2 linked regions of the Coturnix japonica genome follow. The protein of the gene in region 2 interacts with the protein of the main gene of each other region in a pairwise test. Links are inferred from orthologs where the notes say so. Each region holds a gene or a part of one and is shown on either strand. Other genes may lie near its edges.

Region 1 (15,534 bases), on a different chromosome or scaffold from region 2:
AGTGGTTCAGGCCATGACCCAACAGGTCTCATACAACAATTTTTCTATGAATCATTCTGTATTGATCTAGCTGTAGAATTTTTGAGTCTTTCCAGTTTATAGCTGTTCTAGACAAGTTTCATGTATCATATTTCAGGTCTAATTATGGGAAAACAGTTGTCTAATGGATTCAGCTACATCCAGTATAAAAGGTGCAGATGACATTCAGTAATTTTGACATTGTAAGAATAATGTACAAAATGATATTCAGAGTACTTCAAACTGCATGAAAGATGGTCTGAGAGCTGTCCAAAAATTTGTTCTAGGAAGTCACAGAGCTTGTAAATACAGCCTTAACTTTCTGAGTTTATACTTTGAAAGTGCAAACATTGGTTGCCCTGAAACTAATAGGGGAAAATACAGTTATTAAATACAGTTAGTTTTTCAGTCTAGCTAGTAATGTTATGTCTGAGGGAAAGATGGCAGATGGTCAGACCCATGTGCGTTGTCTGTCTGTTGTTTCTGTCATTAGCCTCTGCTTGCTTTCAGTTCAGGCAATCCTTATCATGAAGCTGAACCTTCATGTACTTGTTCCTTCTTGAGATCCCCTTTCATAAAGTCCCATAGGGCTGGAAATTTTTCCTGCCCACAACATCCATGCTTCCTTTCCCCATTCTTTTAAAACCCTCCTTATGATCGCTTCTGCAGAGGGCCACATAGATATCAATAGCATTACATTATCTTCTACCCTTCCTGTGCTCTTAGAATAACATTTTGCTTTGTTTCTTTCTTCCCCTCCATCTCCTCAGATTTCTTTCTATTTTCATTGTCTCTGAGGAAAGGAACATGGTGGTAATTTTATTTGTCAGTCACCTTAACCTGTAAAATGTCAAAGTGTACTACAAAACTATATAACTGAAATTAATTTTAGTGCCAATAGGTGTGGCCAATCTCTTGAGCCCGCAAAATTTATATAATGATCTATACCACAGCAAAGCTGAGGTTACATCTGATCACTGTGGGAACACACACATGGGCACATACATACACATGTAAATAGATCAAATTTAAACTTTGTAAATTTGAGCTTTGTAGGAGAGGAAAAAAAAAAAAGACTACAATCCATGAGACTATCACAGGGCAGCATGAACTTGTTTTTAGTAAGACTAATCCTTTGCTGGAGTATCAAAGTCAAAGAATCCCCAATGCTGTTCAGAGAGACAAATAAAGAAGGCAGAAAATGGGTTTGTTGCTGACCATTTCAGTTTTAAATAAGTCTGATGCTTTATTCAGCATTTACTCAGCTTACCAACATCAGAAAATAAGCTGGCCATGGAAATACATGCGTAGCATTACTAAATGACTTCATTTGAACTTCTGCATCTGAATTTGAATAAGCAGCAAACATTTATTTAGTCATCTGTTTTGATATGTTAATCTGTTGTTCATGAACACTTGTGTGCACAGCTGCATAATAGCTTAGCAGGGATTCAGTGCAAACATAGAAATGTTTCCCACAGACACAAAATAATACAGGCAGGTAAGCTGATCTTGTGTATAGCCTCATATCTATAGACAGATAGCAGACTGAGATACATAGATGCATAGATCTATAGTATATCTATAGATAGTGTGCCCAGGTGGCCAAGAAGGCCAATGACATCCTGGCTTGTATCAGGACTGGTGTGGTGAGCAGGACTAGGGAAGTCATCCTGCCCCTGTACTCAGCATTGGTGAGGCCTCACCTTGAGTACTGTGTTCAGTTTTGGGCACCTCAGTTCAAAAAGGACATGGACTGGAGCAGGTCCAGAGAAGGGCAACGAGGCTTGGAAAATCAGCCCTATGAGGAGAGGATGAGGGAGCTGGGGCTGTTTAGTCTGGAGAAGAGAAGGCTGAGGGGAGACCTGATTGCTCTCTTCCAGTATCTGAAGGGTGCTTACAGTGAGAGTGGGGCAGGTCTCTTCTCACAGGTGACAGGTGACAGGAAGAGGGAAAATGGCTTCAAGTTGTGCCAAGGTAAGTTAAGGTTGGATGTTAGGAAAAACTTCTTTACAGAAAGGGTTGTTAAACACTGGGATAGGCTGCCCAGGGAGGTGGTTGCGTCACTGTCCCTGGATGTGTTTAAGAGCCATTTGGATGTGGTGCTCAGAGATATGATTTAGCAGAGGGATGTTAGAGTTAAGGTACTATGGTTAGGCTGTGGTTGGACTTGATGATCTTTGAAGTCTTTTCCAGCCTGGTAATTCTATGATTCTATGATTCTGTGTTTTTAAAGATAGAAAATTATGTTATTTCTTTATAGTTTTCCTGAAGTTTGCAAAACTCTTTTCAGTGAGAATAACTCCTGGACTGTTTTAATCTGATGGCAAAAGAAGACAGCACTGACTGCTATTTAATTGCCATTATTTTACTAATGCCAGATTTGTGAGGCCTATTGATAGAAATCTCTCTGCCTTTCGATGCTTCCCCCCCCCCATATTGGCATGGTTGTGATTCACACTACAGTCAGAAACACACTTCTAAGCATTCTGTGGTATAATTTCTGAGTTCCGCTACATTTCTCTTCCCCCTTCAGAGACTATGAGGAAGATATTTCAAGAAAAGGGCATCTTGGCAGGAGAAGAAAGAGCTTTTAAGCCCCATCTGACCTTTATGAAGTTGTCAAAATCAACACAACTACGTAAGCAGGTGAGCTCACATTTCATATAGCTCAGCAGCAATCTAGAAAGTTTAATTTATAGATGAACGAAGGAGTTGCTTATGCTATAGCATCACAGTTTTTACATCTTTGTACCCAGCTGAAGAGGTAAGACTTTAAAATACAGGTATATTAGAAGGAATTATTAGTACATCTACTGTGTAAAAAGTAGTGCTATACTGTACTGTAGGTTAATGCTCTGGATATTCTCATTACAGTAAAATCATAGCCTGTTTTATTTTGTGAAACTATGCAAAGCCAAAAGATGGAATTACTTGTTCAAAATTACAGAATTAGAACTATAGTGTAGATTACATAGTTAGAAATGCTGTCACCGTATTTATATGCTGCTTGTGTGGATATTGTTTGGTTCCCCTTTGGGAGAAAATAAGCAAATAAACAGGGGAATTCATATGTTGATTATGCATGATTTGCAGGCTAACATTTCTCTTGATTGAATATGTTTTGGTGAATTACACACTAGTGATGAAATCATAGTATCATATTCTCTTGCCGGTATCTATTTCTTGCCCATTTATTAGCTTTTTTGACAAGAAAAAGTAGACAAACATAGAAATAAGTTACAATATCTATGAGAAATATAGAGAAGCAATAATAGGTTGTCTAGCTTTTTATTTCACACTAACTTAACAGTAAATTATTATTAACATAAGATATATCTCCATAAGATTTCTTTGCTAGCATTGCAATAAAATGTTTTATGTAACCTTTCAACATTGGCCAGGAAAGTAATTTTCAGAAGAAATATTTTCTAAAACTATGTACATAGTATAATTATTGTCAGTTGATTTAGCAAGCATTAAAGTACTTTATTCATTAGAAAAAAAAACCTATAAAATACGAAAGGTGAAGATCTTAATCAAGGAATATTCTGAAATCAGCCGGAAGATGAAATGAGTTCTGAGATACATGAAGTAGCTTCAGGGACATGACATAATGCAGAGTTGCTCTGAAGCAAAATAAGGACTTGTCAGCCAGTTGTAGGTGGTGTGTTGTAGCTCATAAAATCGTAGGCTGAAGCTTTTGCTTGTTATAACAGCTGCTTTTAAAAATATTCTAAAAATCCACAGCTTTTGCAGAATATCAGCTGCTCATCAATGTAACTGTTTTGTTAAAATATCTCAGATCTTCAAGGTGCTTTTTTGCCAGTCTGTTGTTTCTTTCTTTCTTTCTTTCTTTCTTGTTTCTTTAAAGCATTCATCTACCTTGCATGAAGTATTGGCCAGGATACATATTTTCTGTGTTCTGATATTCACAGCTACTGACAGAACCGGGTCGGTGTCATTTCGAATAATCTTCCTTGGTCCTCCATAATACTGGATAATACACGTAGTATTCTATAGATTTAGAAAGATATTATGTATTGAAAATCTGTAAATTAACAGGAAGCATCGTCAGTCAATCCACTGGCATTAGCATCAGTCTTCTCTATCATTTTGAGTTTAATTGTGAAACATCTGAAGAAAGCAGCTTTCCACTTTGAAGTCGCAGCATTAAGCTGAACATAGACAAGATGATAAATGTAAAAACAAAACAAAAAGCACAACCTTGGAAATAGAAATTAATAAAGGATAACATTTCAGATAAAGTGGATAAGGGAGGAGATGTCTGAGTGTCCACTCAGCTTCTCAGGTTACCTTCTTATCTGCTCAGAAGTGGAGAAACTCATTCTTTACATTTAGTTTGACAGTCCTGAAATTAAATGTGCCATGGAAAACTTCCCCAGGTTAAGCAGGCACAGTGTTTCTTTGGGTGTTCTCTGGAACGAGACAAAGGGAGATAACTGACTTGCACATGCTTAGTTGTTTCACAGCTGACTTGGGTGATAATACTGGGTTAGTATCATTATCTTCTGTACAAAGAACAACTGAACACAGTGAAAGAAGTAACTTGAGTTTTGCACTTAATAATAACCTTTCTATTCCTCCTTCCCTCACTATCCTGCTACATTGCTGTAGGTCAGTCACGACCCCTCTGTTTTTCATTCATCTGCTATTTATTTCAGGGAGTGTTGTGAGGCTCACCTGATAAATGCTGCATAACATCCAGAAATCCTTTAGTACGTATTGCTGTCTGAACTGCAAATATGATGAAATGAATTTTATTAGCAGATGACTGACAGTTACACTGCTCAGATGGCATCTGGTTAATTAAAAAGCTGTATATCCTTAGTCCAGGCATAGGCTGACAAGAAAGTATTCAAAAAATATAACTTAAGAATATTTAACATACGATATTCCTCTATGCAGCACATATTTAGAATGCAGTATGTGTATTTAATAAAGGATAATATATTTGTGAGAAAAATCTGTAAACAGCACTAGTAAGTATAGTCCATGGCTGTTCACTGCTACCATTCAACTTCAGCGGTAATATCCCCAAGATGTCAGATATTATTTTGCAGGTAGTGTTATTATGATCACACTGAAAGCAGCAGTCATTTACTCTTGTATTTTTCATGTAATGTATGTTAAACATTTGTCACTATCCTAGTTTCTTTAGAGATAACAAAAGTTACTTATTTTGTACTATCATAAATGCACACCATAAAAGGAGGAAATTCTGCACTGAGCCTGCACTGAACTGTTTCTGATTTCAGATCTTTTTGGTGGACACTCACATTTACCTCACTGTCTTCAGTGAAATATACCAAACAGATAAAATGTTTAGTACCAGTAATTATGAATATAACTATTTTTTTTCCTTATATAATTTTTCTCTCTTGAAATAGTGGTAGTGGAATCTTGTCTTCTTGAAAACAAGTAGAGCAGAAGTGAGATCCAATATATCTGCTGATTATCTCTGATTAGCAATATTGTTAGCAGTTACTGCAAGCTTTGGCAGTCAATCAGATATCTAATGTCTTTCTGTCTTACTTAGATAATGAATCTAAGGCATTTATGCTACTGCAGGGAAGGTTATTACTTTTGTGGTAACTGTATATCATGCCTTCTCTTTATTCACTTGTTCGTGAATATGTGTTGCATACATACTCAGAAATAACAGAAAAATTATTCTCAATAAAACCAAAGTGTTTCTCTTTTAGTCAAACCCCACTGTTTCTGACTTCCATTCTTTTTATATCAACTCTTGGAGTTTCTCTGCCATTATGGCCAGAAATGCAGCTTTATTAAATGTCACAGAGCTCATTAGATCCTTCTGTATTTCCATTAATCAGAGTCTACTTTAGTGGTTTGTATTGTAGCAACGTTATTTGCTGATCTGGGAGTCCAAGGCACATACTTACTGTGATCGTTTGGTGATGATCCTAAAATGACCGAAATGATTACTTCCACTGTACACAAAACAATAAACACTTTGTTTTTATAGTCTCACGAGACCAGCAGAACTATTTCGATTTTTCTACAGTATTTTTCCAGTCTGAGAATCCAACAATAGGGGCTCAAAATGCACGATCCAACAGCTGGAAGAGGTTCTTGAATTCTCTCTCCTCTTTCAGTCTTCCTGCTTTCATACCATGCACCATACAGAGATATATAGCTTCCATACTGATTTTAGACAGGAATAAGAAATAGCATGCACTATAGACAGTTTTAAAAAGTAAAATGTAGTGTGATACATTAGTCATAGTCATTGTTGAAATTACCAAACCACCCTACTGAACATGGCAGATAACTTGTAATATATGCCTATAGACATAGCCATGCTACAGAATTGAGGCTGCAGAAGGCAACACCTCTTTATGCATGAACTCTTCTAAGTTCACATTAGGATCATCAAGATCTAGGCTAAGAAACCTTTCAACAACAGCCTTGCATTTTTCCATCTGGTCTCCTTTGGCAGGATGATCAATACGTTTGATAGCTTTTCCATTGCGAATCAGTTCTGACACTTCCACTCCTCTTTCAATAATTTTGGCTGGCATTCCAGCTAGTGCAGCAATGTTGGCAGCATGACTAACAGTGGATACTCCTTGTTTGATCTGATAGAAAAACACCAACTCATCTCCATCTTGGTGGGTCTCCATGGCCAGATATTCCAGAAGAGGTGTGTCAGGCAAGAGTTCCAGCTGCATTAAGCTGTGAAAATTAGTGGAGACAAAGACCTGCGGACACTGGGTTCCTTGATTGATCCAATACTTCAGCACAGCAGCCAGAAGGGCCAGGCCATCTAGTGTGTTGGTTCCCTTGCCAAACTCATCAATAAGTACCAATGACCTCTCTGTAGCGTTGTTTACTGCCTTGGCAACCTGGTTAAGATCAATCATGAATGTGGAGAGTCCTACAGAAACTGATTCCCTAGTGTGGATTCTTGTGTAAATCCCATCAATTGCTCCTATCTCTGCCTCTGCTGCAGGCACGTAACTGCCGATTAGAGCCATAAATATTATAAGACCTACTTGCTTTAGGTAGATGCTCTTTCCAGACGAGTTGGGCCCAGTGATTATCTTTATTCGTCTGGTAGCCTCACCACTGTTCACAGGATTAGCCACAAATGTCTTTGCACATAGTTCCATCAGTGGATGTCTTCCGTCCTTGATGTGGAAGCCATGGCGCTGTGTAAAGCGTGGCCGGCAGTAAGAGTTCTCCCGGGCCATCACTGCCAAAGCCAACAGCACATCTAGGTGTGCAGTATACTCGATCACGCTGTTAAGCACTTCAGACCTCTCCAAGATCTTTGTCTGCAGCTGGTGCATAATAAGTGTTTCCTGGTCTCTTATCTCACAGTGCAAGTCACCCAGCAGGCTGTCTAGCTCCTTAGTTCTAGCACTTCTGTAGTGCAGTTTATCCTCGGACAAGAACATGAAGTCCAAGCCTTCAATTTCAAAGTCGCTTTTATCCACCATACTTGGTAGCCGTGGAATGGAGAGAAGGAACCCAATCAAAGGAATGTAGATCACACAACAGGAAGGAATATGGCTGTCCAACGTTTCCAGTTCTTTTTGTGCCACCTCAGTCAGAAAGTCTGACAGACCCATTAGCCTTCGCTTCTTTTCATCAATGGTGGGATCCACGTTGGGTCTAACAGTGAAGCGATTTTGTGAGACACTGCCTTCAAAGTCCACCACTTTGCTGATTAGACTAGCAATGTATTGCAGATCATCAGTGAAGACACGTGAAATAGTCTGAAAGAGTTCGATACTATGGGGAAGAGAGCGACATGTGTCTCTAAGGCACAGTGCACTATACACTGTTTTATAGAGTGCTTGCCAGTCGCTAACTTTCGTATGGGATAGAGTCATTCTTTTTAGAATAAGAGGCACATTTTTTATATTCCTGAGGCAATCCTGAAGGGTAAGGACTGTTTCATGGTTCTGAGCCAACAGGAAGAAGTGGATCACATCCAGCCTTTTATTTAGTTCTGTCAAGTTCCGAGTAGGTCGCGTAAGCCACAGCCTCAAAAGTTTTTCTCCCCGTTTGCACCTACAGCGATTTAAAATCCCATATAAACTGAATCCTTCCTTTAATCCACTAGAAAGCTTATACACAGAAGGATGGATATCACTTTTGAATATCTGCAGGACACAGTAAGTGTCTTGGTCTATATTCACAGTTTCTGACAGCACAAACTTTCTAAAGGCCAAAACAGGAACTACAATACTGCTTTCTTCCAATTCAACTCCAACCCTTCTCCTGTCCAGGTACTTAAGGAGCCCCCCTAATGCTCTGATCACGAGTGGGCTCTCAAAAGGGATGACTGAGGACAAATAAAGAATTTTTTCTGTAGCAGTCATATGGGATGGGATAAATGGAAATTGTCTAGATAGGATTCGTTGCTTGCTGACTTCCAGGCCAAAATCTATGTTAGGAAACAGGACAATTTCTATTTTTCCTTTATTGCTGTCACTGTCTGCTAGGTTGGTCAGGAAATTGGCAATATTCTGGTCCTGTTTTGCACTTGTCACTATGCATTTGGGATGAACTTCCCCAGTCACTTTTTGTAGTAGCTCGAGGCCTTCATTATCAGGTGTGTCAGGCATGAAGTAAACTGAGCAGTCTTCTGTATCATAGTAGGCGACTGCAAACTCCCCTGCATACCACAAGACAGACATATGTGTCTCAGAACACTCTTGCTCCTCTTCTTCAGGTGCAAGCAGTGGTGGCAAGGGGCAACTCGTGGCTGCTGTGGCACTCATTCTGTTGGAGAACAAAATTGTTATTCACAGCTCATCCAGAATATCCTGAGATCTAATTTTAATTGACAACAAGTTAATACTCATTATTCCAGGCCTGCAGAAACTAAGATGCTAACAGAAATTAAGGCCTGGTGTTACCAGTTCAGGTGAAAAGATGCAGCCAGTAACTATAGATGCATCTTGCTTTTAAGGAGACTGTAACTGAGCTACTAACAGCAATGTTGGAATCATATTATAGTGTTTTTTTCACGTGACTATTTTTTTTCTTAGGAAGTACTGTCACACCCTTTGAAGCTTTTGCAATGTTCACTGCACCATTCTGCTACAATCCACAGTGTGAGAAACTAAACCACCTTTAGGCACTGAGCTCAGAAGCTCAGACATAACAGGTATAACTTAAAGAATACCTGTCTTTAGGTTGTGTAGATTGGGATTAGGTCAGAGAGGCTGCAGAGACTCTGGTTTAGGAGATACTCAAACCCTGATGTTGTGATCCAGTGCAACCTGCTGCAGGCTACTGCTCTGAGCTAGGTTGATTGCTAGAGGTCCTTCCCAACCTCAGCAACTCTGATCTGCACCCAGCATTTCACTGAAGTGAGCTGTGCAGCTTTACCATATGCAAGCACAAGTACCCATAAATACAGTAGCGTACTCACACAAATGTACGTGCATACAAAACCATCTGCCCACAGAGGGAGGCCCACCCACACTGACCACAGTGCCTTACAAGACACAACCACATGGAATGGTCAGCTGGGCCTACCTGGGTATTTATGCATCTCCTTCTTCAGGAAGTGCCAATTTCTGTGCAAGTAGATGAAGGGATCAGCCAGTCTCCCCTACAGAGGCTACAGTCACAGTCAGCTCTCTGCCTCCAGCTCTTCTCCTCCTTACTCTCCACGCATCCTCCTCTCTCACCGTAGGACAGCTCACTGCAGCCGTGTGAAGGCCGCGACTTCCATCTCGGCCTCTTTCCCTTAGCCGGGCAGGAGTTTGGCTCCCGGCCTGTCAAGGAGGCCCCGCGCCGGGGCCGAACCGCTCCACTGTGCCCGCAGCGCCGCCGCTGGTCGCTGGGCTGGCAGCCCGGCCCTGTCCCGGTGCTGTGCGGGCCCTTCGCACGGCCGCGCCTCGCCACAGGCCTCTGCTCCCTGTGGTGCTGCCCAGGGGCCGGGTGTTTTCTGCCTCCCCACTGAGCACCGAAGTACGGCATATCATCGTAATCAAGTGTCTGTAGCTTTACCATGTGGGAACAGTTCCTCTTCTCCACTGATCCATACACACGTTTGTGTAAATGAATCATGACCTGCATTGTTACATTGTTTTGTCATCAGCTGCTCCAACTCACTACAAATATCATTCAGTTTTCCAAATATCTTCCAGTAATGTCTCAACAGCAAAACTCAGTTCCTGGCCATTTAGCATTTGATTCACTCATGACCGATCTGTTTTTGACAAGCACCATCCCAGCCCCTTGTGAAAGCTGTTTCTTATTGGAGCATGATGATCGTGATTTCTTCCATTGATCTCTCCCTCATTTTCTTCACCGAGTACTTGAGGCTTCACATTTTGACAAGAATCCTCCTGGCTGAAAAGGTCTTTCTTTAAATTACTGATGGAAGACTAAGCGTATTTCAAAGAACTGTCAGTCAGAGAGCACCAATTGATGATTTAGATTCAAAATAACGTTAGTATCTAAGAACTAATTTAGCCATAGAATATCATATTTTAAATAACAAATGAGTTTGGAATACACTTAGACTTGCAAGGAGATTGTGCACCCTAAATAGAAAACATGTACCACTAGATGTCATCATTTCAGAGATTAAGGAACTGGAAAGACATTTCTGACCTTGTTGAACAAGACTTCAAATGATAGAACCACATGTTCAGGTACTTAGAGAAACAAGGTTCTCCTGAAGTGAATTTTCATTGAAATAAAAACTGAGTAAAAATGCCTCCAATGAGCACATATTGCATGTGAGTAACTGTGAAGGGATTGCAAGAAATGAGTATGTGTACTGCTCGGATGAATGGATATAGTATAAAGCGATGTGGAAGCAGAGAGCATCTGTCTGTTTTAGGGCATCTGGTGGAGGACCTTTTCAGTGTGGAAGGGGATAATGAGAAAAGGAGAAAGCCAAAAACAGTGGCATATAGAGACACAAGCCTGACTAATGTGACTAAGGAGACAGCAACAAGAGCTAAACCTAGTCAGTCACAGTGATTGCTCTGAGTGTGTGGAGTATGGGAATACTTATTTCCATCAGATTGCCTAATAGAAGGCCTTGTCAAATGGGGTGATAAGGGGAAGAGGGAGGCCATAAACAAAACATGTAGAGACACAAAGCTGTCAGGCAAATGTAACACAAGTGAAACCAAGATGCAAACCTTGACAATGACACTAATTGGTGGGCTGCTAGGAAAGTACAGGCAAAACAGGACATTGCAACTGTTGGTTGTGTAAACCTTGAGAGTCCAGGATATTAAGAGAGTTGGCAGGACTGCAGACTGATGGAGGAATGTGCAGGTGAAGGGGAGAAACAAAGGACAGCAGCAAGTGCATCCATCACAGAGCCTATGTCCCTACAGCGCCAAGTCTGTTAGAAAAAAATATCAACCAGTACATTTTTTCCTGTTTGATGACATTGAAAACAACAAACTGCCCTTGACAAACATTTGAGATTTTTCTCTGTGATAACCTGCCTGGTGCTGATATGGAGAATAATTTACAGTTACATGTTCCATGAAGACTCTTGCAAACCATTTGAAATTAAAGCACTTGCCGTGTTGTGTATGCTACATGACTGAAGAGGGATGAGTAGAAAGGAGGTGTAATGACATTTTTAATCCTTTGTTTAAGTTCTGTAGTAGATAACTGCTTAGCTGAAACAGAATATTTGGCACAGCATTGGTTTAGTACTCTTCTTTCCTTTGGAAGCAAATTTCCATTCTAACAATATCTCTGGTTAAAATGAAAACTATAGGCATAAATGTGAAAATTCAGTCTTCTAGCAGAATCTGCAATTGAACTTTATATTAATATTTAAAGGTGAAAAAAATTGACTCGAGCCTTTACGAAGATTATAAAAGCCATTATTTTGGAGCTGAAATCCTGCATCGCTTTGATCTTTGCTCTATGTTGAAAAAGAAGCAACCCAACGGCTACTACTACTGTGAGTCCTCTGTTTTTCTTGGTAAGTACATCTTCATTTTCCTCTTTTATCAATGATGTCTATAATTTATCTATGATAAAAGCCATTCTTTCTGCACTGTATGTTTGGAAATTTTTGCAATAATATCTATGGAGTCTGACAGAAGTCTGTCCTTCAAGTCTTCGCTCTCCAGGCTCTCCAGGTACACTGTGTAGTGCTTCCTGATGACAACTAAAGCTTGTGGTTAACCATCCATCCCCTGTTCCATTCCTTATTTTAAAATGAGTGAGGGCTGCTCTTCTCTCTCTTGACTACAAAGGCAGTGCATGTAACCAAATTTGATTAGGCACAGTAATTACAGATGATGAAAGATAAGTGAAATGTCTCTGGTATGGGAGAGATGTGACCTCACTTACTCATATCTTGAGAGAATGTAAATGGTATAACAAACTTAATAGCTTCTCAGAGTACCATCAGTACTTCTGAAGTTGTACAGATACCTTGTGTAGATCATTTCAATGCCAGAAATTACATTTGTGTATTTGAACTTTCACATCTCAGTAGTTATTCTATGCATGACTTGTTACTTTTGCCACAAATCATATATAGCTGGCACTTCAAGTAGTATGCACGGAAGGTCTATGCACCGAGAGTCTATGGGATAAAAGCTCTGTCATAAACCTTTGTTAGTTCCCACTAGCTGATGGTAGAGCTTGGTTGAGACTGCTGTTAGTCATATCAGGAACATGACTTTAAATAGTCTAAGTGAAGACCTAGAAAATCTTTTGGATATTTACTTAAACACAGTCAACTCTTTCAACCTAGGTATGTACTGTGTAAATTATTATCTTGAAAGACACCATTCCCACACTTTGGAGGTCTTTAATGGGATGACAGGCAAGTAGTCATAGAGCAAAATTAAATTTTTTAATATTAACTGTAATTTTCCCCCCTTTCCTAATTAGGCAGGATCTTTATTTGTGCTGGGTCAGATGTGAATCTTAGAAGAGGTTTATAACAGAGATCATGGTCTTAGAAGGTCAACTTATGCTTCTTCTTTGTATACCGTTGATTTTATATTCTGGGTCATGTCAGTTTTAATGTAGTGGTGCTGGAAGACATGGAATACTGACATTCATGCCAAAAGCTCATGTGAAAACTTAACTTTGTATTTTCTTTAGAATGAGAAAATCAGAAATAGAGCAGAACTCTGTTTTGCATGTTGTTAATGAGCGGTGGTTCCTTTCCAACAAGAACATGGGCAGTCTTAAAAAAATGTTATTCAATCAAAGTCTTCATTTTGACATACTCAAGGAAAAAGAGTACATCTGTTCTTGTGCAGTTCCTCTAACAAGAAGAAAGAAATATAAAACATCTTTTACAGGTGTCCTCAACAACAAAATGCTTACTTAAAGACTACGATAAACTAATTTTCATATACATTGCAGCATTTTCCAGAGTTCTGGTAATAAGCAGAAATATTCTTAACAAAAATTGACCAGGGGGATATCAAACAAGCAAGTCAGTGGATATAACCTTTCCAACTTAAAAACATCCTAGCATTATTAATGAAAATATTCATGACCAAGGAATGATGGAATCCTCAGAAAGAGAGAATAAAATGTACATTAGGAAAATCTTTCAAGACTGCTGTCATCCCTTCTAGCTCAAACATCTTCATTGTAAGCAGTTCGAAAGGAAAGCCATAACTTCATATTTAAGGACCAAGAAATCTTAAAAAGAAGAAAAATTCTGCATATTCTGAAGATGCATCCTTAAAGACTAAGAAATTGTAATAAGATGGGAACTTTGCAAAGGTAGTGTGTCCATTCATCCTCAAATTCTGTAAAAAGGCACAGTGAGCAAAAAAGAAAACTGCTGATACAGGCATCTTTTCTGTCTGAGATGATTTCAGTGGAAAGCTACAACAACATAAGGCTTGAAATGGACAGAAATACATGGGATTAATTCATTATACTCCATTTTTTTCCCTAACAAAGACTATTATTTCATCACCATAAAAACTACACTGCGTTTGTATGCCTCATCTGCTGTTTTCCACCTACTCTTCAATTTCTGAAGTTGTTAATACTTCATGCTATGTCAAAACTAACCCTGTAGTGGAGAAGACAAAGGGCGTTTATGAGCAGCTACTACCATCTATTCAGTATCTGTTGTTTGGAGTAGATTTGCATAAACACTGCTACTAAAAGGTAGTGTTGTTTCCTGTACCCCATGTAGGGTGTGGTTGGTAACCGGCTTTGTGCCTTGTGGTACCTTGTTTCCCTATCCTCCAACACTGATGGTGGAAGTTCTTACTGGTCCTCAGGTCTGTCTTGAGTAATTATTATTAAACACAGCGCTTTCAGCACACCAAACACTTTGCAAATCCTAAATGTTATTTCGTGTTAATGTTTTTGTTTGCACTTGGGCCATCTTTGTTTGGATTTCCTGTTACAAAACAAACAGAAAATGTGGTGCAGATTAAAAAAAAATATATAGGATGGCTCTTTGAGTTAGCGACAACAATACTGCAAAGTCCAGATGAGTCAAAACCAAAATTAGATTCATTTATACATCTTTCTCTCTTACTATATGTAATATTTTTTACTTGTGTTATGGATGATTTATAGCTATGTCTATGTGTATATATCTCTCTAATACATAGGCATATGTTTGCACATCCAATTAGGTACTTATATATATTCAAATACTTAGAAAAAGGGAAGGTAAAAGATTATTTACCATGGTACAACATTTTCAACAGCCCGTAAACTGCTGACAGGATTAAAGTAAGGTTCAGCTACTCACAAATATCCTTCAGAATGTTTTGGAATTTGTATCTGATTAAGGAATGTGGTAAATAGCTCATTACAGATAAAAGCTCTTTAGAAGTATATTTGGTAGATATTGACAATATTATTTGGTATATTTATTTAAATCTCTGTACTTGTTGAACTTTTTGTGTTTGCAGCTTTTCAGAATGCTAAAATGAGACAGTCTTTCAGCTTTTGAGTATGTGTCTCATTAAATGTTTCTTAACAGCAGTGAATCAACTGGTATTCAAAGCAAGAATCAGATGCTTCTTTGGCTTTAACTGAGTTGCAACGTGATAATGCTGAAGGAATTTATGGGAAGTGTAATTTTCACAATCTGAACAGAATTCTCTCAATTGCTTTTATATGAGTACTGCATTTGGCTTTTTCTAGCTGTAATATTTGGGTATAGAATCATAGAATCGCCAAGCTTGGAAAAGACCTAAAAGATCATCCAGTCCAACCTTTCACCTATTACTAATAGCTTCCACCACTAAACCATGTCCCTCAACACAACATCCAATCGTTCCTTGAACACCCCCATGGTCAGTGACTCCACCACCTCCCTGGGCAGTCCATTCCAGTGCCTGACCACCCTTACTGAGAAGTAATATTTCCTAATGTCCAGCCGCAGCTTGAAACCATTCCCTCTGGTCCTATCACTAATGACACGAGAGAAGAAGCTGATCCCCAGCTCACTACAACCTCCCTTCAGGAAGTTATACAGAGCAATAAGGTCTCCCTTGAGCCTCCTCTTCTCCAGGCTGAGCA
Region 2 (15,074 bases):
CCTCTGCCTTCCCACGCCAGCAGAGCATCCCAGCATAGAGGGATGGATCTTCCTCTATTTGTGGGCAGATGGAGCTTCTCCATCTCAGCCCACAGGTATCCACCATCCTCAAGCCTTGATCCAGCCCCACACCACCACAGCCACAGCTCCTGCTGAGCTCTCATGCCCTGTGCCAGGGCTCAGAGTGCACCAGGGGTTGGTAAGAGGGTCTGAAATGGGGCAACCTGGGTATAGAACCCAAAACCACCACTGAGCAATTGCAGGGCTTTGGGTGCAGCGCTCTCACCTGCTCTCTCTTCCTTCCCATCCGGCTTTGTTCTTTGGCACCATGGTTGGATCAGATGATCTTTGTGGTCTTTCCAGCCTTAGCGATTCTATGATCTCAGTTAATTAAGGCAGAGCATCTCATTTCAGACACAGCTTGGCACTCAATACTAACCTCAGTGCTGCTCTGTCTGGATGCTCCTGTCCAAAGCCTGCCCTTCAGCACAGCTGCCATGCAAACGTTTGTTAGTAGACAAACACGGGCTTTCCTCAACACTGATTTATTTTTAAATACACTACGCAAGAGAGGCCAGAATAAAACAAAAAAAAGAAATGAATCAAAACGAAACAGAAAGCAGAGAAAGAGAGGAGGCGGAATCGTGTACAGCAACAACCTGTACTGAACCGAATGGAAGAGGAAACAACCCCCTGAAGAATCACAGAGATGAAGGACAGAGCTATTTACACACCGTAACAAAAACGAGCCTACAAAAGTGTGTAATAACGAGATACAAATGTATAATATAGTGGCACAATATGTTATCAAAGTAAAAACAGTACCTCCAGGAAAAGAGACAGTCCAAGGTGTTTTGTTTTCTCTTACAGTTTTTAAAGGCAGCCTGTGGCAGGAGTGTGTGGTTTCTCTGTTAAACGTTTGCCATGGGTTTTTGAAGTCAGGGCTGTTTGTGAGGGCGAGGAACGGCGTGAACACACAGAGTGAACTGCTGGAAACGATATACAAAAGGTCAGCTCCAAGGAGAACAGCATAAAATACAATTGAAGGCAATCAGTGTTTAAGATACACGAGAGGGGCCACAAGAGTTATGGGGAAACAGGACGTAGAAAATGTCAGGTTTTTTTTTTTTCCTCTTGTTTGGAACTGTTAAGAAGAGTTAAATTGCACTGTTAATAGCCCTAAACTTTGCTTTTTCACTATTGTCACAGGTCACAGTTAGTCCCCAGTCATGTTGCATCAGTTGGGAAGGTTACAGGGCCGTGGGCAGGAAGCCCATCCACCCTGCTGTCAGCATTTTGGGGCCGTTTCCTTGGGAGATCCACCAAAAGAGGCTGCCATCTTCACAGAACCTCATACGATGGGTGCAGCCACGCAGCCATGAAGGCAATGACAGTTCCAACCCCAAAGTACCGGCATCGAGCTCTCCACAGGGAGCTGGCACTGGCACATCAAGGGTAGGGCAGCGCTCTCAAAGGAGCACAGGAACCAGGCCCACAGAACAGAAAAGGCTGCAAATACAACTAGAGAAACAGCAGTTCTTGCCCATCTGTGACGGGCAAGCTCAACTGAAGACACTGCTGCAGGCACAGTGGTATCTTTGAAGTCGGCCCAAGCTATCCCCTCCTGTCACCCACGGAGCGATGCTTTGCTCAGCACAGCCTGATGATGCTCCCACACCTCCTCTGTCACCCCCTGCCCCAAGCACCAGCCTGAATAGCAGCAGCAGCGTCCTCCTTCAGCCCTCTGCCAGCCCTCAAGTGCTACCGTGGGGGATCTGCAAATGCTGCTGCATCAGTGGGTGCTGTCCGGAAGGGTTTGAACCCAGGCAGCTCAACTGGGCTCAACAGCATCAAGGAAAGGCTGAAAACATTGATATAAAGGGCAGCAGGTGGGATCATAGGAAGAATGTGAGTGAACACCACTGGTAGCATTCTATCATTTCTCAAAGTTACATTAACAACTTCCCCCCCCCTCCCCTCCTTCCTCTCTCAGGCTCCAAATCTATCGCATTACTGCCAGGTTCAATGTCAGACTCAGGCAAGGGATGCACGCTGCAGCTCTCCCAAGAAATGCAATAGGAAATATTGCTATTCAGACACTCAGCCGTGTGTACAGTGGGGCAGAACGCAGTAGGAAGTCCTCCTGAGGAGGATGGCATCTCAGTGTCCATCAGTCCGGCTTCAGCCTTAACGTTTAGTCCAGAACAATAAAATATTAATCAAAAGGCATGACGTGACATCAGCACTTAGACTTGTAGTCCACAAGGCAGGAACTCCACAGATAAGACGATTACAAGTATATGAAACACAGGGAATCTGGGCTAAGAGGGTGGAAAGTGCCTCTTGAACACAGCCCTGCTCTTTGGAGCTGGGGCATCCATCAACAGTCTGTGCGTCTTTGCACAGCCCGAACCCAAACGCCCCAGTCCTTGGTCAGTCCACACATGCTGTTCAATCTCTCCACAGTTGACTTTGGCCCACTGTGACTTTATTATTCTTTCCCAACCTGGTTTCTGCTACCTCTGAACGATGTCGCTGATTTCCTTGACGGAACTGAGCAGTTTGCTAAAGTCCTGCGTGGCCGCAGAGCCGCTGCCAGCCGTCGCCGGACAGATCTGAAGCTCCCGCAGGTTGTTCTCCAGCTTATTGATGGCCTCCCGAAAGGCAAATTTGTTCCTCATCTGCTGAATGGAGTCCACGTAGCTCACACAGAAGGTGTAGAGGTTCTTGCCGGCCTCCAGGACAGTGCTGTGGCTCGCCATTTGTTCTGAGTTCTTGCTAATGGCGAGCCGTAGAGCCTCGGTGCTTTCCAGCACCACCCCCTTAGTGATGGTGCCGCTGGCAATCCTCTCTGGGGGCTGACGGGTCTTCCGCAGAGAGACCCTGGTGGATATGAGAGGGATGAAGGCTGTAGATGATGGCTGGTCCCCCCCTGGGGCAGAGGGGACAGATGAGGAAGAGGCAGCTGAGGTTGCTGTGCTCATCAGCAGCTTTGTAGAGGACTGCGGCTTTGGTACAGAAGGGATCCCGAGCTTTTTCACACCTTCCCCCGACTGGTTTGGCTTGACAGCTTCACTGCTCACAGCATCTGCAACCTGAGTCAACTGTTTGGATTTAGGACCAGACACCACATCTGCTGCTGCTTCATGGCTGGGACTGTGAGATACTTTTCCAGGCTTGCCAACAGAGGATGAGGACAGTGGAACTGGAGGGGCTGGCTTCAGCTTTGATAACTTCCCTTTGTCCTTCCCTGCCAACTCAGAGGTCTGCTTGAGCCTCCTGAGCCGCGGCTCCTCAACAGAAGCTTTGCTGGCACCTGCAAATGCAGCAGAGTTGGGTTTGGCAGCAGAACCTTGGTCCATTGTCGCAGTGGTACCTAAGGCACTGGATTTGACTCCATCGTCCTTGTGCAGCACGCTGGAGGAGGGGGGGACGGCGGGTTGCCTACGGCCAAGTTTTGGAGTCAGAGTGGGAGGGCTGGAGCCAGGACTTGACTCCGCATCTTTGAACACATCATCAGTGGTCTCTTCATTTTTCTTAAGCAGCCGTGGAGGGGGGGTCACTGTCCCCCTGACAGCAATGTCAGTCTTGGTCTCATTTGCCCGCTTTCGAGGCAGTGCTGGCTTTTCACTTTTGTGCCCCCCAAAAGTGGAGGAATCAAACTGGCGTCCTGTGGACTGCAGATCCCGGGGCAGAGTCACTGATTTCCACTCCGTGTCCTTTGCACCGTGGGGCACACAGGAGGCTGAGCAGGACCTTAAGAAACGCTTGCTGGAGTTGGAACTGCTCTCCTCCTCCCCAGACACCCCCCGGCTGCTGCTCATTGTGCTGGACTTCTTCCGTAAGTGGGGAGACAAAAACCCAGAGTTCCCAGCAACAACCCCGTTGGTGACACCGGCCCCATTGCTTGGGGTTTGAAACTTAGAGGGGTCGGCTGCTTCTGTGGGAGGAGCAACGAAAGCTCCATTGCCAGCATCCCTGCACTCCTCCTCCCCACCCACCCTGCGGTCCGAGTGGCCGTCCATCTCTCGGAAGGAGCTGCTCCGCTTTGGAGGGGTGGGGGCAGTCTTCTTCTTCTTCTTGATAAGGGCACTGAAGAGGTTGGGCTTTTTGTCTTTTGGAAGCAGCCTCTCATCTTCATTCAAACTGCTCTCCAGGGCCACTCTCTCCTTCCGTGGCAGCAGAGGAGAAATAGCAGGTTCGTGGTCCAGAGGGTCTGCAAGGGAAAGAGAAGAGACTACTGAGCTTTGCTTCAGTACCCAGGACAAGCTGCTTTCTTCCACGATCTAAACCATTTCAGCACCTCCAAAAAAGGTGCAGGTTCTGAAAAGAAAACCACCAGGAATAATTCAAGTACAGCTACACAGAAGCCCAGACTGAATGTGATCCTTAATCCTCCACACACTCACCTGTGAGGTGGCCAGACTTGGCTGCCAAACTACATTCCCTGTAGGCTTCTGATTTAAACAGCAATATACAAACACAAACTGTTTATGTTCAGATTCCCATCCTTGCATCTAGAGACTTGTCTGAACTTCGTACTGAGAAGAAGATAAATACAATGATGCTGCTTCTTTTGGTCCCTGTGAGGTTGCTGCCTTTAGAACGTCTGACCCTCCGAATTAATAAGAAATCTATGTAATCCACCCTTGTTCTTTTAGCTTCTGATACTCCTAACCTCCTTCCCTGACGTCGCTCTTCATAGGGAATGGAAATAACTCTTTCACAAGCAAAACCAAGACATCCCTTGGCAGCTGAATGCCTCAGGTCACATCACCAGAAAGATCACCAGCTTAGCACAGTAGTGGAGGGAAGTGGGAATAACAGCCTCCTTCAGCAGGATTGCTCCAGAAGAAAACAGTGGGGTGACCCTTTCTCCACTTACAAGAGGTATTTAAAAATGAATAGTGGTTTATAATAAATTTATGCTGGGTCCTGCATGTCTCTGTATTTGACTGACTGGGGGTCTCATTCCAGGCCAGGCACTCAGATGGCATGCTAATTCAAGAGAGCAATGCCTTTAGGGCAGCATATACATTTAGAGCTCAAGTAGGTAGTAAGAAGGGAGACGAAGCAGACACATAGATCAAAAGAAGGCTGCTTCTCAGTCACATACTGGTGATCATCATGCTGAGGGTAGGATTTTGGTTGAGGAAGGAGTCAGAAGAAAAACAGTTTGGTACATAGGGAAAAGAGTATGATTCCAAAGGACTAAGTGCCACTGAACCATTCACATGTAAACTGAGGCAGACCTCAACAAACCAGCAGAGCTCCTACAGCACTTCAGACAGTGCTGTTCAGACACAGTGGGGCTTTGGAGACCCAGGGAAAACTAGTAGCTTTCATTAAGGACCAGCTTCCAGCCACTGGACTATGAGAACACTGACAACTAAACAGGAAATTGCAATGAAACATCTATAGGAAATATGTGTTTTTCCACAATAAAGACTGAAATAATACCCAGCATAATGTTAAAATCATATTGTTCCTGCTGCACTTGAATCTCTCAAAGTCCTTAAGTATTTAAATGAAGTTATTTTACTTCAAAGCTTACAAAACTAGGCAATTATACCTCCTGTATACAGCGGGCTGGATTTGCCATCGGTCTTTAACACTACATTGCATTAATTAAGTTATAACAAAAATAGTGAGCTCACTATTCAAATCTTTTTCCAATAGAAACAGAAGGCTCTTTGTTATTTTCATTAGCAAACAAGTCAATTCAGAAATCAGTACATTCTGTGAATAACTTTCTTTCCTGTTTCAGTCACCGTCACTTTTCCAGCATTTTACACTCCCTTTTGTGTGTGTGTTTTCCCCTTTCTTTATCGAGATGTACATTTGCTACTGAAAGATGTACCACTAGGTGAGTCTGGCGTCATCCAGAAAAGGTCACTCACAGGAATGGTCAGACAGGGCGTGTTTATCACACACTGCATTTTGTTTTTATCTTGCTGTTTTTCAAGCAAACTGGATACGAATCTACTGTATACATTCAGTGCCTCAGCACTGCGTTCATTACCTCAGAATGGAAGAGAAATGCTTGGAGAAACAGACTGAATAGAGTTTAATTTCATGGAAGATTCTGTAAATACCTCTTTGTCCCTTGCTGCAATTATATTTGGTACCTGCCAAGAGTAATACTCTTCAGTGCTCCAAGCACAAAACTGGTGTGATGGAACAGTGAAGAAACCTCCCTTATGGGGCTTGCTAAACCTGAGCAATCGTGCTGCTCTAAATTATGCAGTGTGGTAGTAAAGAGGCTTGAACACCGCAGATTACCCAGTGCTCAGATGTAGTGGGAGATCCCTCTGATAGCTCCTACCAGGGAATGGGAAGAGAATGTGACCAGAGAGCTGTGCTCAGGCTCTTGTCTATAGGGAGCTGTAGGCAATTGCCATTAAGTTAAAAGAACTCCAAGGAATTCTCTAAGCAACGGCAGGTATAGCGCCAACTGCTCAGCCAGCTATGGATTCACACTCCCAGATGCTCTATGTTTGTATCTGGTCCCAAGATTAACAGCCTGCCTTTCTGTAATAAATGATGAAAGGAGTTCTGAAAGCAGGAAGGCAAACTTAGCAGCCTGTCACCCAGAAATACAATGCTGATACATAAAGATGGCACCTGTTTTCAGACATGGCTTTTCCTAAGCAAAGACCTGAGCATGCCTTTTGTTTTTCCTATTATTTCCTGAAGGAATAATGACTTTAATTAAAACCTACCACATTCCCCTTGGCCTCGAGCGTGTGCAGTCTCCAAGCTCTCATTCGCATCTTTGCTTTCAGCAGCTCTCCTCGATGTTCGTGTCTTGGTTGGTAACTCTGGGGCCTGAAGGAAATTGCTCACTACACTCCTCATGCCCTTCTTTCCCAATTCCTTCTCCACCTCTGCAATGCACACAAGAAAAAAAGATTACTGTAATACATAGAATATAAAAAAACCAGAGCACTGCTCCGAGTTAATTGCACAAAACAAATGAAACAGCACAAAGAGGGAGATCCTTAGGGCTGGTCAGCCATTTGGCTATTTATAGTTAGACACGTGCCCTTGTTGAGCTACGTGCAGAGTTCAGGACACAGGCATCCCTTGTCCCTGGAACTGCCAGCCCCAAAGGGACCCAGACTTACCATCTGATATGCTGGACTCCTGAAACATCGTCTCAAACGCCTGATGGATCTCAGCGAAGGAAGGCCTGTCAGAGGGGCTCCACTGCCAGCCTGCAAAAACACCGGCACTGAGAACTTCCTACCAGCATTACACACCCATCACAGTACACGAGGAGGTGCCAACTATCACAGAACCCTTTTTATTAAATGGCCAAAAGAAAACACCAGCATGGAAACTTGGTGTGAATGGTGCTGGGCATCTGTAACCACCACTGAGCCAAAGTAAGGGCAGGCATGGAACATCTCGGGAAGGAAAAATACCACATAACAAGTCACGTACCAAGAGGCCACAGAGGAAAAGCAACACCTACTCCCTTAAGAAGCCTACCAGACTCCTGCCTCACCCCTGCAGCACAAGTTTATCTGTAAGCAGTCAGGGAAAAGGAGAAAAAAAACAGCAAATCTCTCCCCAAGGCCTACGAGCTCCCAGCAGGGAAGAATGGCTGGTTTCATAGTGCTTCCATCCTCTGGGGAAAGCAGCTCTAACCAAGCATCTCCACACAGCACTGCGTCTTCACTAGAACCAACAGAGAGTTTCTTGTATCTGGCTGGATGTGACCAGATCTGGCCACGTTCATTGCATTGCTGAAGAGCTACAAAGCAGTAATGGCATTTGCAAGGCTGAAGAACACTTACATGCTCTCATGAGCTCATACACTTTCTCAGGACAGCCTTCAGGGCGCTCCATCCTGTAGTCCTTCTCCAGCAGCTCATAGACTTGAGACAGGTCAATCCCAGGGTAAGGGGACATGCCATAGGTTGCAATTTCCCATAGCAGAACACCAAAGGCTGCAGTGGGTAGAAAAATAAAACAAACAAACTAAAATCAACAAACTTTATTTTCATCTTAAATTTGAGGAGACATTTAGTGGGAGTAGTCGCTAAACAGTGCTGCACACTTAAACCAGCTCTGAGTGGCTCAGACTCCATGCTCAGTGTTAGCTTCAATGTTAAAGCAGTGGAACAAGCCCCTTCGTCAGCACAGACAAGTCTCCTGCGATATGACAGAATAGAATTAGACTAATTTTGAATGTATCAGTTGTCTCAAACCTGAACGCCTTGAGATCCTTCAAGTCCTATTAAAGGCACAATTAAGAGACTTCACAGTGGATTAGCTGAAACTGTTTCACTGCAGCACTGCAGTCTCTCTCCCAGTTTGACAGCTCCTCTCATCTGCAGTCTCTCCCTAGAGGACTCGCGTGTTTTAATAGCTCAGTGTTTTTTGGGGTGCCCTTGTTTAGCTGCAGACTGGAAGGGAAGAGGGGGTCCCGCTGGTGAGAGATATTCAGTAGTTGCTACCAATGAGACCAAGTCTGCATGAGACATTTTGGTCATGGGGAAAGCTGAGCAGAAAAGGGGAGAGCACAAAGAGGTTCTTTAAACAGGAGAGGCATTCAAGTCCCCAGACTCAGCGGGGATGCAGGTCAGCACCGGGGTCGGGCAGCTAACCCAGGAGTCAGCCATGCAGAATAGACTCAACACCAGTTCAACAACCTGCATGTAATTGGTTCAGTCACCCTATTCTGGTCTTAAACTGAAGAGAAAGCGATTACAATTCTGCATAAGTAAGGAAATCACATCACATTACATGGTAACACCACCAAGGGCAATTTACATTAGACATTTCTGTGCACAATTTTCTTTGATTTCTGTCTGGAGGCAGCGAGGTGAAAAGCATCTAAACCCTGGCATGGCCAGCAGCAGCCGTGACCTCTGGGGACAGCCAGCTTGCTCTGATCAGATCCCAAAGTCCACCGCTCTGACTGTCACTCTGCAAGGTCACACCAACCCTAATTAAAGATACCCAATATCCCTTTCAGATCTTTCTTCCCAGAGCACTCCACTACTGAAGTACAAGGGCTCCCCGCAGCCACCCGGCGCGGCCAGCAGTGTCACACAGCAGCTCGGAGCAGAAGAAAAGCTTAGCTCAGCTCCCTCATCGCTAAAACGTTTTGGATCAGCCGTGCTCTAAGAGTTCCTTCAAAATAAAGCCTCTCTCTGCACCGTCTCCTCAAAACTCCAGAGAACTTCACTGCTGCTCCACCACCGTCTGATCTTTTAAACACATAGGAGATGCTCAGGGTAATGTTTTCAATGTACCCCTGGGATGAAGTCCTGCAAACTTCTATCGTGTATCACCGGGCACTTTTGAGGATCTGACCAATAGCTATGGAAGAGATATAAAACCCAAAGAAAGGCCGATAAAAAAAGAAGTAGAATGAGATTTTTCTGCAGTCAGATTTCATAGAATTTAGCTCCATTTAGCTAAGCCCAGTCTTATCACCAGCACCTCAGGGCTCTTCAATAACCATTTGTCATCAAATTTTCTCTCTGTTTCTGCTCATCTCATTCCAAAGATTATTCTTTTAAAATGCAGAAAGACGAGCTCGGAGCTATCACCAGACAGACAGATACACACATAATTTTTTAACATAAAATGAACCAGATCCTCACTTTTCTCCTTAAAGTAGTTTGAAAGTTCCTGGCGATAAAGCAATATATTGCTTCACAGTTCTGTGCCAGAGCTCCATCAAGTCAGCAGCACGGCTGCCCTCCAGCCCCATTTCATACAACTCTATAAACACCACAGTGTCCTTTGTTTTCATACTTGTCAATGACTCAAACACGTAAAGCCAGGTCTGCAGCCTCACTTCTCCACTCCAAGACCGACTTGGCAGAGATTAATTCCTGCACTCTGATACAACACAGCTCAGAGCAGGGAGCATTGCTCTCTCCTGAAACATTTCACAGCATCCTCATTTCACAGCCCTGGAAACGAAGGTTGTAAAAGACCATAATCTGAATTAATTTGTTCATGCAAATTCTTACCCCAGACATCAGACTTAATGGAGAACTTGTTGTAGGCCAGGCTCTCTGGTGCCGTCCATTTGATGGGGAATTTGGCCCCAGCGTGGGCAGTGTACGTGTCACCTGTCATCAACCTGCTCAGGCCAAAGTCTGCCACCTTCACCAAGTGGTTCTCCCCTACCAGGCAGTTTCTGGCAGCGAGGTCCCTAAAAACAAGAACAAAACCAAGCAATGAGAAGTCTGTCCTCTCACTTCTAGCAAGAGAGAGGAAATTTGCTGTTCCCAAAGAAGCCTGGGCCTGCACGTGATTATTCTGATCAGGGTATTACACAGAAATTATGCAGCTCTGCACACACATGGAAGAGGGAAAGTTATTTTCCATTCCGGCTTTGTAAGACTGTCAGCCCAACTTCTTTTTTTTTTTTTTTTTAAATGCAAAATGAAAGCTCCAAGAACCCCCTCACTTTCAATAAAAGCTGCCACCCTCAGGATAAAAATAATGTAAAGAAATGTCAGTGCTCAAGTTATCAATAGCTGAGGATGAGCGCTGAATTAAAGACGTCGCAGTGCCTCCCCTTCTTGCCCACCTTTCTAACACCTCCATCAACCCAATCACCACCGTTCACCCTTCAGAACTCCTCTCCCAGTCCCTGCTCAGAGGCAGCTTTAACTCCCAGCTGTGCCCTCCTCCCTCCCAAGTATCACATATCTTACAGCACCATGTTTTCTACCACCCTCCCCCCTAAAAAAGTCATTGGTGACCATACAGACGACTCAATGACAGCACCCACAAAAGCAGCAACCCCAGCTGCCTAGTGAGGAGGCAGAACAAAGCCTGTGTGGGCAGCTGCAGGACAGCAGTTTCTTCTTACCCTTTCAGCCCTACTCTTCAAACACGAGAGGTTTTGCCCTTCTCAAACTACCCCGGCCTCTGTTATCAGTACTTCTGTTTTCAGTAGACTGGATGATCAGCAGACTGAGCTTTTCCTCTGTTTTTTCACCTTGGCAGGTGAGAGATGCACACGTTGCATTTACCACCCCCCCGGCTCAAACATGCTGCCAGCACCCTCAGCACTGCATAGAAATGTAAAGCACAGAAATACATTTCTCCTAATACCAGGTTTCATTAAAAGCACTTTTTCAGATTATGTTACATTGAACTAAAAATTGATTCTACCAGAAAAGGTGAGATCTTCTTTAGATAGGAGGCAGACTCTGCTGTTTCTTTTGCTTGTTCTGCTCAATGGGAATAAATTAAGGGGGGGAAAAAGTACACCTTACTAGATGCCCATTATATTTTCACAATGTTTTTGAATGTATCTCCTTATCAATTCTGATTACTACAATGTATGTCTAAATAAAAGCTCCTCTTCATAATCAAATTCCTCCTCCTTCCTGATTCATTAAATGAGGTCACAGCCCAGCATTTGAATCTACGGATGTGAATGGTGACAACACTCTTAAAATAATTGGGTAGGTGGGTGTGGGGGTGGCTGATAAGGAAAAACGCTACTATTTATTTTAGATAAATGGGTCATCAGAAATAAGATGAATTGAAACGAACGGGAGAGCAGACGAACGGGATTCATACAAGGCAGATTTTAAAGCTCACTTCCTACAGGCAGAAGGGATGGAATACTTTCAACAGAGCAATTCAAAGGGTGGAAATTTTAATTGCAGCATCACCGTTTGCTTCAATGACTGACAGAAGCATTTAAACAGCTCTTTCAGGCAGCAAAAAGCAAGGCATGTCTGAGGAACACCTAGAACTTTACACGCGATCTTCATATTTCCCTCTATAAAAAAACATGTGCTAATTCTATATTCTAGCTAATTGGGCAGGAAAGGTCACACTGTGGCACAGAGAACATCTTGTATTGAACTCAGCAGCTCTCATCCCTCGCACAGGATGTGTCATTATATTGCTAGGAGGTCGCTCCTACAGACAAAGAATGCAAAGCTCTGGTCATAATTGCAGCACACTTAAAGGTCAGAGTCTTTGGGACTTTAAGGTTGCAAAGATACTTATTAAAGTCAAATAATCTGGACAATGGTGGACAATAATCTCTGCAGAGGAGGAAAAGTGTGAGATAAACAAGAATGGACACAGGGTGAGACGGCACTAAGAGGGTGGCTTTGCTGTGAGCACCCAGCAGTGTCACCCATCTGCAGCAGCCTTTAATGGCTGTTGAAATCAACAAAGAGGCCTATGTGAGCCACTAAGAACCTGTTACTTGAGGAAGCATTTATATTTAAAGCGTTTGATCAAACTGTAAAAGCACTGATACATCTTTAACCTACATCTGCTTCAAAAAAGGGAAAAAAATGGAGGAAAACCATTAGAAGACCATCCTATAAACAGGTCAACATACTGCATCAGAATACAGTAGATAGGGGCTGCAGCTGAAGGGAAGGCCACGACAACCTCAAAATACATCAGGTGGTGTTTTGTGCTTGAGATTCAGGAGCACTCGGTGCCCTTCGTACCTGTGGATGAAGTTTTTCTTCTCCAGGTACTCCATGGCTGAAGAGATCTGGGTTGCCATGTACAGCAGCACCACTGCATTGACCTCCTGCCTGTTGCACTCACGTAGATAATCCAGCAGATTCCCATATGTCATGAACTCCGTAATGATGTAGAAAGGAGGTTCCCGTGTGCACACCCCTATGGACCAAGATAAAGTTTCCTATGAACATTTGAGAGTATCAGTGACTCTTCCAGGCTGTCATCCCAGGCAACATATATCTCTAATGGCTGCAAAGAGGGGGGATTGTACAGAGAATGAGTTTTGCTTGGAACTGGTTAATAGAGGATTTTAATTTCCTGCTTCAGGCTCTGGCAACTTAAAACGTTAGGGAGACGAGATCATTAAAAATCATGTATTACCGGTACAAATTGTGAATTCTGCCAGACAATAAGTGCCTGTATTTAAAGCCTTGGTATGGTAAGCAGCTTATCTGCTCCTTAACATCCATATCACTGCACAAGGGTTTAGTTCAAATCCCCCTGCTTGGTATTTATCACTTACCTAATAATTGCACCAAGTTCGGATGCTTGATCTCCTTCATTACTGCAGCTTCTTTCAAGAACTCTTCCACCTCCATGGTATCCTCCTGCAGAACAATAGCAAAGCTTTGGCAAGGACAGCGTGCACAGAGGAGGGCACAAAAAGAACTGCAAAGTGACAGCACCAGCCACAGTTCTTTCAAGGCAGTTTTTCCCTGTAGCCACATCACAAAGCCAGGGAGTGAGGAACGTTTTTTGTTTTGTTGGGGCTTTTTCTTGTAGGGTTTTTAAAAACACATTTTTATCTTTCTTATTGTAAGGGAGCTTTTTTTGGGGGGTGAGAAAATCCATATCCCTTTTGTGAAGGGCCTCTCACAGGACCACTCAGGAGTTGAAAAGGAAAAAGCTCAGAGCGCCTGTTCCTAACAAGAAAAAAGAAACCCCACACGAAATCAACAGCACGGAAAGAAATGAAACAAGAAGAAAATCAAAAGGAAGGCTACAACCGAGCAAAGGTCTGAGCAACTGCTGAGATGCAAACCCCTGATTTTAGTGGGTCTAAGCGAGGAAACCCCACTGCAGAGAGAAGCACGGCTGATGGTGGGGGGGATTGAGAGCCTGAGGTTTCACAGATCTCATCCCTGGCATTTAGAGCCTGACCCATGACGCAATGGGTCTGGGCAGATGTGTCACTACCTATTTGTTGAGCACCCATAAAGTTGCTTGGCAAGACAGAAAGCTGAGGAAGATACGATCTTGCTCAGAAGATACAGATTCTGAAGCAAATATACCCCCACGGCCCGAAGGTCATTTCAAAGTGGTGCAAAAATACAGATCCATTCCTAAAGCAATGTTTCTTTCTAAATCCATATTTTTTTTTTCCATTGGTGGATTAATGTTGACAGCCTACATGGACGAAGTGTTTTAAGGAAGGATTGGAAAGGATTTACTGCTGCTGGTGAGAATGATAACAGTGGGCTGCTGCTGTAAGATCCAGCCAGCACTCTGCTCTGCAGTTAGCGATGAGAGCCTCTTTCAAACAGCTTCAATCCATCATTCGCTATTCGTTGCCAATTAGCTTGATTGGCAGCTGTGTTTTTCTGAACACGCTCTGTCAAAACGAATCACCCAAAGGTCCTGAGGAACAGAACTGTAAACCATTTTCTTTGGCAAAGGAAACCGGGTTAATAATCCAGGTTGCAAAATGACCCTAAACACGCACTTATCTTCTGTATGCTTTGCAGCCTGCACAAGGCTGTTTCTCTGCATTGCTGCTCCGTGGTTTTAAATCTATCGCCTCTCACTGACCAAATTAATAGGAAGGATGCATGCAGAGAATTACAGTAACAATGATTTCCCTGAAACTCTGATGGCACAGTTTTTTTTTTATCAATTTCCATCTTCTGTTGCACAAAACCACAAGATAAATAAAACACTTCCAGCAATACGGTATTTTCTCAACCAAACAGGACAATGGCTCAACCTGGACTTGTACAAACCTCACTAAGGGACAGCAGGGCTCAAAAATAAGCATTGCTGGGGTCAAAAATAAGCATTAAAATAAGCTGGGCAGCTCTCAGTGGCTCAACCACTGAATAGCCCTCCCAAGGAACTGAGTTGGGGGTACAAGCACAGCAGGCTGCAGAACAAGACAGGCATGATGCTCCAGCCCAGTCCCTGCAGCTCTCCTGCCCCTTTCCAACAGAATCAGAAGCAAAAAAGCAAACAGAGCATGCCATGTCATGGCAGCAGACCCTCTGAAATCCTGCTGCATCCTGTGCAGCTCGCTGGGTTTCCAATTGGAACATTCCAATGGGAACCATCTAAGCCCCAACACGTTGCCTTGCACTTGCCAGTTACATGAGACTGAAAAACAGGGCATGCTGCATTTGTCTTCTGGTGTGATCCAGGCTCTGTGTAGCTGTGAGCTACGACTGGACACGACAGAGAACTGAACAACAAATGGGTGCTCCTGAGTACAGCTCGACAACACAAACTGCATGGATTTACAGTGCCTTCAACCCTCCCTCCCTTCCATCCTTCTTCTGGAACAGACAGGGAAGGAACAAGGAGAACTGTATGAAGTTGTAAAA

Evidence for each region.
Region 1: the proteins of ABL1 (region 2) and MSH5 interact in binary tests that used the Homo sapiens proteins (3 or more experiments, as listed by UniProt). The link is inferred for Coturnix japonica from reciprocal best matches to the Homo sapiens genes ABL1 and MSH5.

What each region holds. Positions count from the first base shown.
Region 1 is NC_029518.1:52,065,226-52,080,759, reverse strand, and holds MSH5 (mutS protein homolog 5), read right to left. Parts: upstream 9,648-15,534; 5' UTR 9,559-9,647; intron 8,797-9,558; 5' UTR 8,796-8,796; coding exon 6,366-8,795; 3' UTR 5,946-6,365; intron 4,777-5,945; 3' UTR 4,723-4,776; intron 4,458-4,722; 3' UTR 4,336-4,457; exon of another isoform or gene 4,036-4,335; 3' UTR 3,726-4,035; downstream 1-3,725. Other genes in the region: AKAP7 (A-kinase anchoring protein 7), read left to right, coding at 2,555-2,667, 11,845-11,989.
Region 2 is NC_029532.1:4,611,460-4,626,533, reverse strand, and holds the end of ABL1 (tyrosine-protein kinase ABL1), read right to left. Parts: intron 13,089-15,074; coding exon 13,004-13,088; intron 12,640-13,003; coding exon 12,462-12,639; intron 10,181-12,461; coding exon 9,996-10,180; intron 7,956-9,995; coding exon 7,803-7,955; intron 7,218-7,802; coding exon 7,128-7,217; intron 6,888-7,127; coding exon 6,723-6,887; intron 4,217-6,722; coding exon 2,517-4,216; 3' UTR 762-2,516; downstream 1-761. UniProt on the Homo sapiens protein: Non-receptor tyrosine-protein kinase that plays a role in many key processes linked to cell growth and survival such as cytoskeleton remodeling in response to extracellular stimuli, cell motility and adhesion, receptor endocytosis, autophagy, DNA damage response and apoptosis.